Linked DNA regions of Ovis aries. The protein of the gene in region 2 interacts with the protein of the main gene of each other region in a pairwise test. Links are inferred from orthologs where the notes say so. Each region holds a gene or a part of one and is shown on either strand. Other genes may lie near its edges.

The links. The genes of interacting proteins can lie anywhere in the genome.
Region 1: the proteins of FXR2 (region 2) and nucleoside diphosphate kinase A 1 interact in binary tests that used the Homo sapiens proteins (3 or more experiments, as listed by UniProt). The link is inferred for Ovis aries from reciprocal best matches to the Homo sapiens genes FXR2 and NME1.

Annotation. Positions count from the first base shown.
Region 1 is NC_056064.1:35,341,200-35,344,944, forward strand, and holds the start of nucleoside diphosphate kinase A 1, read right to left. Parts: upstream 2,864-3,745; 5' UTR 2,822-2,863; exon of another isoform or gene 2,739-2,821; intron 1,186-2,738; exon of another isoform or gene 1,076-1,185; intron 1-1,075. UniProt on the Homo sapiens protein: Major role in the synthesis of nucleoside triphosphates other than ATP. The ATP gamma phosphate is transferred to the NDP beta phosphate via a ping-pong mechanism, using a phosphorylated active-site intermediate.
Region 2 is NC_056064.1:27,141,613-27,145,357, forward strand, and holds the end of FXR2 (RNA-binding protein FXR2), read right to left. Parts: coding exon 3,686-3,745; intron 3,380-3,685; coding exon 3,270-3,379; intron 3,044-3,269; coding exon 2,957-3,043; intron 2,674-2,956; coding exon 2,451-2,673; intron 2,244-2,450; coding exon 2,046-2,243; intron 1,956-2,045; coding exon 1,755-1,955; intron 1,660-1,754; coding exon 1,564-1,659; intron 1,421-1,563; coding exon 1,320-1,420; intron 990-1,319; coding exon 894-989; 3' UTR 289-893; downstream 1-288. UniProt on the Homo sapiens protein: mRNA-binding protein that acts as a regulator of mRNAs translation and/or stability, and which is required for adult hippocampal neurogenesis. Specifically binds to AU-rich elements (AREs) in the 3'-UTR of target mRNAs.

The DNA of each region.
Region 1 (3,745 bases), about 8.2 Mb from region 2:
CTAAGAACGTGAAACAGGTACAAGGCTTTGTAGGAACTGGGGGGTTTTGGAGGACTTTTATTCCCCACCTGGCACAGTGCCTCCATCCCTTATATCACCTGGTAAAGACAAGGCATACGTGGGACTGGGGATTACAGCAGCAGTCTTATTAGAGCAGCAGATTATTTTGCCTTTGAGATGGAAAAGAATACCAGTGAGGCAAATTAAAGCTCTGGGCACTTCCCAAGCTGGGCTACCATTTGAGTTAGATGTACCTATAATTCCGGAAGGTCTGAGTTGGGCACTGTGGCAGAGAAGGAGAGTACCCCTAGGATTTTGGTTCCAGCTCTGGAAGAGAGCAGAAACCCAATACACCCCACAAAGCAACAGCTTCTAACACTGTACACAATGCTCCTCTGGGCAGAGCTTCTCACAAAGGAACAGCACATCATGGAAAGAACTTCCCTTCCTTTGAAGGGGTTGTTAAGAATAAGTTCCATCTACCCTCCTCTGAGTGAACTCCGGGAGTTGGACAGGGAGGCCTCTGATGGACAGGGAGGCCTGGCATGCTGTGATTCATGGGGTCGCAAAGAGTCGGACGCAACTGAGCGACTGAACCAAACTGAACCCACCTTCGCCATGGCTCAAACCCTCACAATGACTAAATGACCTGTCCATTTGTAGCAGATGAGCACCCTACCACCAGTCCACTGTCTCTAGAAATGTGGGCGCTTTAGGCCCTATCCCTGGAGGAGGAAATGGCAACCCACTTCAGTATTCTTGCCTGGAGAATCCCATGGACAGAGCCACCATCTTGGTTCCCTCCATTGGCCTGGAGGACATTAAAACATACAGACAGACCCTTACTCAGTTCATCCAGCAAGTCTTAAATGACTTGTGCAAAGCCCATCTTAACCGAATACTAAAATAATCTTTAATGAGAAAAGCTGTCCTCTAAAACAGAATAGCCTTGGACATTATTACTGCCTCTTAAGGGGACTTAGTAAATCAATGGTTCAAATTATGGGGCTCTTGATGGAGAAAAGTGTTATTTATTTTGAGAATCATCTAAATCTGTCTTTTCTCTTGCACGTGCCTTTATATTGTTGCTGTGGCATCTGCCTCCACTGCAGTCAGATAGCTGCCAAACAAGCCACCTCCACGTGGCAGAACCACTTGCTGACTTCTCAGGGCACACTTCTGACCCTGCAGAAGGAGAGGGGGTGAGACTGTAAGGGCTGGTCACAAGGGATGGAGTATTGGAGGAGGTTTTGACCATCAGTTGACACTCCAGCTGATCCCAGCAATTGCAAGCTCCTCACCCCCACCCCTGTCCTTGGGATTTACACTCTGCCTACTGTCCTCACACTAGGGGCTGATCCAAGGACAGCAGCCTTGAGAGAGTCAGGGGTTGTTGAGGCCATCTGAACTGAACCACGTGACTGTACCTAGTTAAGGCCTCTATATATAATTTTAAAATTCTGGTGGACAAGAGCAGAGATCTACTCATCTTGCAGCCACCCAAGATAGGCCTCAGACTCTGTTGCTCATTACACCTGCCACATACCAATCTGAGTGGCTGGCCTTTCTTTTGCCTTCCTTTCCTTCTGTGTACAGGAGCCAGTTTTCAAACTAACACAGTATTGTGTACCCAATACTGTGGCAGAACTAAGGCAGGAGATTTTTAAAAAGACACTATCTTTCTTAACTATCCAGATGAGGGAAACCACAGTGATAATGTAAAGAGCAGTCTGAAATGGGGTTTGACCTACTGCCACAGTCATGGTTTTAGACCTAGAAGGGGTATTAGAGATTCTTTCATTACAATCTCCTTTTACAGAGCACCAGAATGAGGACCAAAATCCAGATCACCCAACCCTATGCAACTTATGCTATGTCATGAGACATAAAGCATATTCTGACCAATAAATGGTGGATTGTGGGAACACTAAAACCATGAGTAATATCTGACATGGGACATCACGCTGGAAGGAAGCCTAGAGAGAACCGATTCTAGACTTTTCCTTTTACAGAGAAGACTGGGCTTAGAAACTGATCCTTCTCCACAAGATGAGAAAGGAGTCCTTTTATCTTGAAAGACAATCCCTCTGGCAATTTCTGGCTCTCTCTTCCTGTACTTTAGTTACCTCTTATTACAGCACTGTAACAATATATTTGAATTTTCTGTTTATCTGTCTTTCCACTGGCCTGCTGCATCTATACAGGGATGGTTTACTTCTGTGTCTGTCCTACTACCTAGCCACAGGGCCTAGCACTCGATAAGAGCAGAGAAAATCTCTTAAATGATAATCACCCTGCACCTCCAAGAAAAAAAGACAAAGCCCCAAAACTGGTGGAGAACTCCTAGTGGAAGCTTAAGGTAAGCACCGCTTCCCCAGGAGAAAATGGGACTAAAGCGCCACAAACAGTCCCTAAGGACATACACCGACACACCCAGCTGTCATTCATTCTGTGTGTACGTGTAGGTGCGTGCTCAGTCGTGTCCCACTCTTTGCGACCCTGTGGATTTTAATCCGCCAGGCTCCCCTGTCCATGGGATTTTCCAGACAAGAGTACCAGAGTGAGTCATTTATTGCTGCCCAGAAACAGGACACAACCGCTACAGTCGCGGAAAGGCAGCCACTGGCAAAGATAAGTCCACGTGGCGTTGGACGTGAGCTGACAGGTTTGGACCAGTAGTCGGGCGCTTCCCTCCGATCCGATCCCCCGGCCAGCTCTCTAAGCAGAACAAGTCCCACCTCTTCACCTCCTCCTTCCCAGACTCCACTCGTTTCCCTTTTCTCTCAGGAGCCCGAACTCTTCTTACCAGCCCTCCTGCTACCTGGCCTTCAACACCGTCTGCGGCCGCCAGCACCGGAAACGCGCCCAGGTCCTCCAGGTTCCTGGCACCCACCCGCGCGGAACGCTTCTGCCTAGATCGGCTGCAGGAGGGCCCGTTTTGCTGCACACCGCTCGCCTACGCTTCCTCCTGACAGTCCGGCGTCGTTCTAGGGAGCAGCTGCTAGTCTTGTTTTTCCCTGCACTTCCGGCAAGCCACCTTCCGCCATTTTAAAAGTTTTATTTTTTTCGTTAAGATTCTTTGATTCACTTTCTTTTTTCTCGACCAAATTGGCTCCCGAGAGGTGGCGCTCACGCGAAGTCTGAAGAGCTTCTGACCTAGAAGTAGACCGCAGCCCTGTTTTTACATTTACTCGTTCTTTCCAGCCAAGCACATTTACTTATCCAAGTAGCGTCTGTGTACCAGGCGCTGTTTCAGGGTCTGGGGTATGGCAGTAAGTTTTCTTGAAGCTGGCGATGGGATTGAGAATGGGGATAAACAATAAACAAATGAGCAAATTCGTATGCAATATATTATGTAAATGCTGTTTTTAAAAGCAGGATTGAGGGGAAGGTTGAGAAGTGAATCCGCCTGCCAGTGCAGGGGACAATGGTTTGATTCCTGGTTCAGGAAGATTTCCCCATGCCAGGAGCAACTAAGACTGGGTGAGCCGCAACTGTTGAGCCCGCCCACTGCAACTACTGAAGTCCATCCACACAGCTAGAGGCCACTGTTCCACAATAAGAGAATCTACCGCAATGAGAACCCCGGGCCCCACAACTAGAGAGTAGTTCCCCTTGATGCAACTGCAGAAAACCCAGGCAAAGCAACAAAGACCCAGCACAGCCAGAACTTAATTTTTTTTTTTTTTTAAGTAGCATGGAAGAGGTCAGATTTCTAAAACACATGCATACAAGCACACACATA
Region 2 (3,745 bases):
GCAGCCCTACCTAGCCTGCTGTGACTCAGGGTATAGGAGTGGCCTAGCTCCCTCTACCAGCAAACCTGGGGGAGGGGAGAAGCAGCAAGGCATCGGCTGCTTTTCTCTAGACCAGGAGGGTACCTGGGCCTGGGGAATTCAGGAATGTCAGAAATTCCTAGACGTAGACCATCTCTGGAATGCTAGAGAAGCCAGTTGTGGTGATACAGGAAACAAGGGCCAGGGCAGGTCACTCCTATAGAAACAGATGGACCAAACTGGGCACAAGGAAGGTACAGGAACCAGAGAGCCATTTGGATTTTTTTATTCTCTTTTTAAATACTGTACAGTGAAAAATAAATACGCCTTCTCATCCACCAGACAAGGTTGGTCCCCCCCTCCCCTGGGGGACCTTGTCACCCCCCTTCATACACACCCCTGGTTCTACTCCAAAACCTTCCCCATGCCTCCCACCCACTTATACCCTTACTATCCCCGTCTTCCACAGTGATGAGGCCCCAGAAATGGGGGGTACAGGATGGGAGGAGGGATAGCAGGGGAGCCCCCCTGAACTGTCAAATCTGGGTGGGTCAAGGAGCACCCCGCACCAACAGGCGGAGAATGGGGGTGTTCAGAGAGAGATTGGGGCATTAGAGGATAAAGGCACATCCAGTCTGATGGGGAAGGAGAGAGACTCCCCTCACCCTGGGGGTAGGGTGGACAAGAGGGAGGGGGTAGGACCCTGTTACACACCCCTCCACTAGCTCCTGGAGGCTGGGGGGGACCCAAGCTGCTGTGCCACCCCCCTCCCCCCTAGATAAGAGCAGCTCCAGCGCAGGTCGGTCGGGCCTGTGAGGGCCATTGGTGTTGGGCAGCAAGCGAGATGGAGAAGGGAGGGATGCGGGCTGGAGGGTTTATGAAACCCCATTCACCAAACTACCCAACTCCAAGGGGGCGGAGAGCTCCCCATTCTCTGAGGGGCCCTTAGGAAGCTTGCTGACAGAGTCACCCTGAAGGGAGAGTGGGAAAGAAAATGGAGAGGAAGGAAAGGAGGTCAGTAGAAATTCAGGTAATGCCATTCCCTACCACCTAAGAGCTCCAGGCATCTGCTGGGACCCAGTGGTTGGTCGCCAGTAGTCACTTTTACTGGGATCCAGAAAATATGAACCAAATGGCCCTTTCTCTTCTATACAAACTTTTCACTATTCTACATGTAGCCTAAACTCCAGCTGCATGCCTTCCCTGCAATTTCACAAGCGATTTCTTAGCGAGTTTTCATGTGCCCCCTACTCCAGAGCAACACAAAAGGTAGTGGGGTAAACTATGTCTTCCTTGCCTACCTTCTGCCCTGAAAGAGAATCCTCTGAAGGTTTAGTGCGATCCAGGGGTGGCCGCTGGCGGCTCTGAGACTTTGCTCGGGAGATATAGTCAGCCACAGTCACTGGGGAAGACAGAGGATCAAGTTTCAGAAGGAACCCAGGTATCCAGCCCCTAGACACCCACTGGACCCCAACCCCTAGTTTCCACAGGATAGGAGGCATCCTGTTCTCTGAGGCAGTCTGCTGGAATCCAGTGTTAGCTCACCTGGCTGACGGTCTCCACTGATAGAACCATCAGTCCGGTTACCACGGTTACGGCGGCGGCGGCTCCGATTACGACGCTGGGGTCTTGACTCATCTTCTGTGGGGCATGGGAAAATGAGAACTGCGCATCAATCACCCACCCCCTCAATTCTTGCCCAGCTGCAATCTTTCACACCCTCACACACCCCTTACCCAGGCCATTCTCCGTCATGCCGGGCCCGTCGGATTCCAGGCCTCCATCCATGACAGTCCTGTCCTCGTCGGTGCGGCGGCGGCGCGAGCGGCGGCGTCTGGCGCTTGCTGGCGGGGGTTCCCCCGGCTCTGAATCAACGGGGGGCTCTGGTTCGGATGTGTCCAGTAGGCTGTAGGGATTACTGTCTGGGTCCTTCAGCACTGGTTGGAGGAAGAAGGAGTTGGGAGTCAAGTGTCCACCATCTTTCTTTTTGGCCCACATTCATGAGCCCAGCTGTCTGCTTCTGGTACCTGAGCTAATCGATGAAGAGTTGTATCTTGAGGTGGGCCGGGGGGCAGGTGGGGGTCCCCTACCCCGGCCTCCTATCGGACGCCTCCGGCTTTCTTCCCCCCGGGTCGGGGCATCCCGGTCGCCAGGCCCAGCTCGGGTGGGCTCCTCCCTCTTCTCTGACTCCGTCTCAGAAGCTGTGGATAGGTCTGAGTTGGGGCCTGAAGAACACAGTGGCGTTCAAACAGGGTCCCTCACTCTATCCCAGGATCCATCCCCACCCCCAAGCTGGAAAATTCTCCCTCTCACTCCTTAGTCCCTCAGCCAATCACTTCATCTTCTCAATCACCCTTTCCTCAAGCTTCCACCCAGACCTCTGCCTCCCACACCCCATCACTGCTTACCCCCCACTCCCATAGATATCTCACCATAGGCAGGACCGCCTGTCCTCCGGCCCCGGCCCCGGCCCCCATAGCTGCCCCCATAGGTTCGTGTGGTATGAAGGGAAGAAGAGGAGCTCTCATCAGTGGTATATCCAGCCTTGTCACTGCTGCCGCTGCCCCGCCCACTTCCAGGAGGCCGAAAGCCCAGCCCAATCTGCCGAAGCTGCTCATCAATCTGCAGCCTCTCCAAGCGGAGCTGCTCCACCTCCTGGTTGGGTAGAAAAACAAGGAAGGAGAAGTAGGTGAAAGATCAATAGTCTCTCTTCACGCTTCTCTGCCCCAACTGTCCCTAGGGACCTGAACTCTCAGGAACACAAGGCTTAAAAAGGAAAATGATGGGTTCCAACTCCACAGCCCCAATTTTCCACCTAACAGTTTCTATTCTACTCAGAGATACAAACTGGAAACCACCACTTTTAACTCCATCCAGCATGCTCCTCAGTCCCCTGTACACATGGGTCTTTCCTCTCCCAGGCTCCTGGCTCGGGTACCTGCAGGTAGGAGAGGTGATATTCCAGCAGAGCTTGAGCATTGCTGATGTTTTCTCGGGTGCCAACAAATATGAAAGGAACCATGCCCTGGAGAGCAAAGGACACATAGATTAGAAACAGACTCAAATCAAGTATTAAGTCCACCTTGTCTAAGAAGCCTACCCAAAAGGGATCTTTCTAGGCTTGCCATCTACTAGGAAAAACCAAAGTTCCCACGCCCTATCCCCTAGAAATCCCAGCCCTCAAAAGAATGGCTTGGAGAACAATTCATATCTACTCTGGAAACCAATCTCTAGGTGTAGTTGCCCCATACCTCTTCCCTGGGGTTCTTCTTGTCATTATCACCTTCAACTCGAACCCTCACCACACCGGATTTATCCACAATCTCCTGGATCACTTTCCCGTTCTTTCCAATCACTTTGCCTGAATAGGTAAAGGAGGAGTCAGGCTTTTTTTTTTTTAAAGGAAAGAAAAAAGAGCAAAAACAGTTTTCCAGCTTCTATGCAAGAATTCTGTTTAATGAATCTCCTGCTTCTAGGCTTCTAGTGTGTTTTCACACCACAATCGCTAGGAATTAATTCTCCCATTTTTGTCACTCCAATTACAGACTGTTTGGTCTGTCCTCGTGAAACGAAGTGCACTGGGAGGTGCGAAGCCAGAATCACTTTAGAGCATCTCACATCTGGCCCCCAACATGTTCTCTTATATACATACACAACCCTAACTCACCAACCAGATTCCTGGGCACTTGCACGGAGTCCTCAGAAAACTCAAGATAGCTCCGGGCCT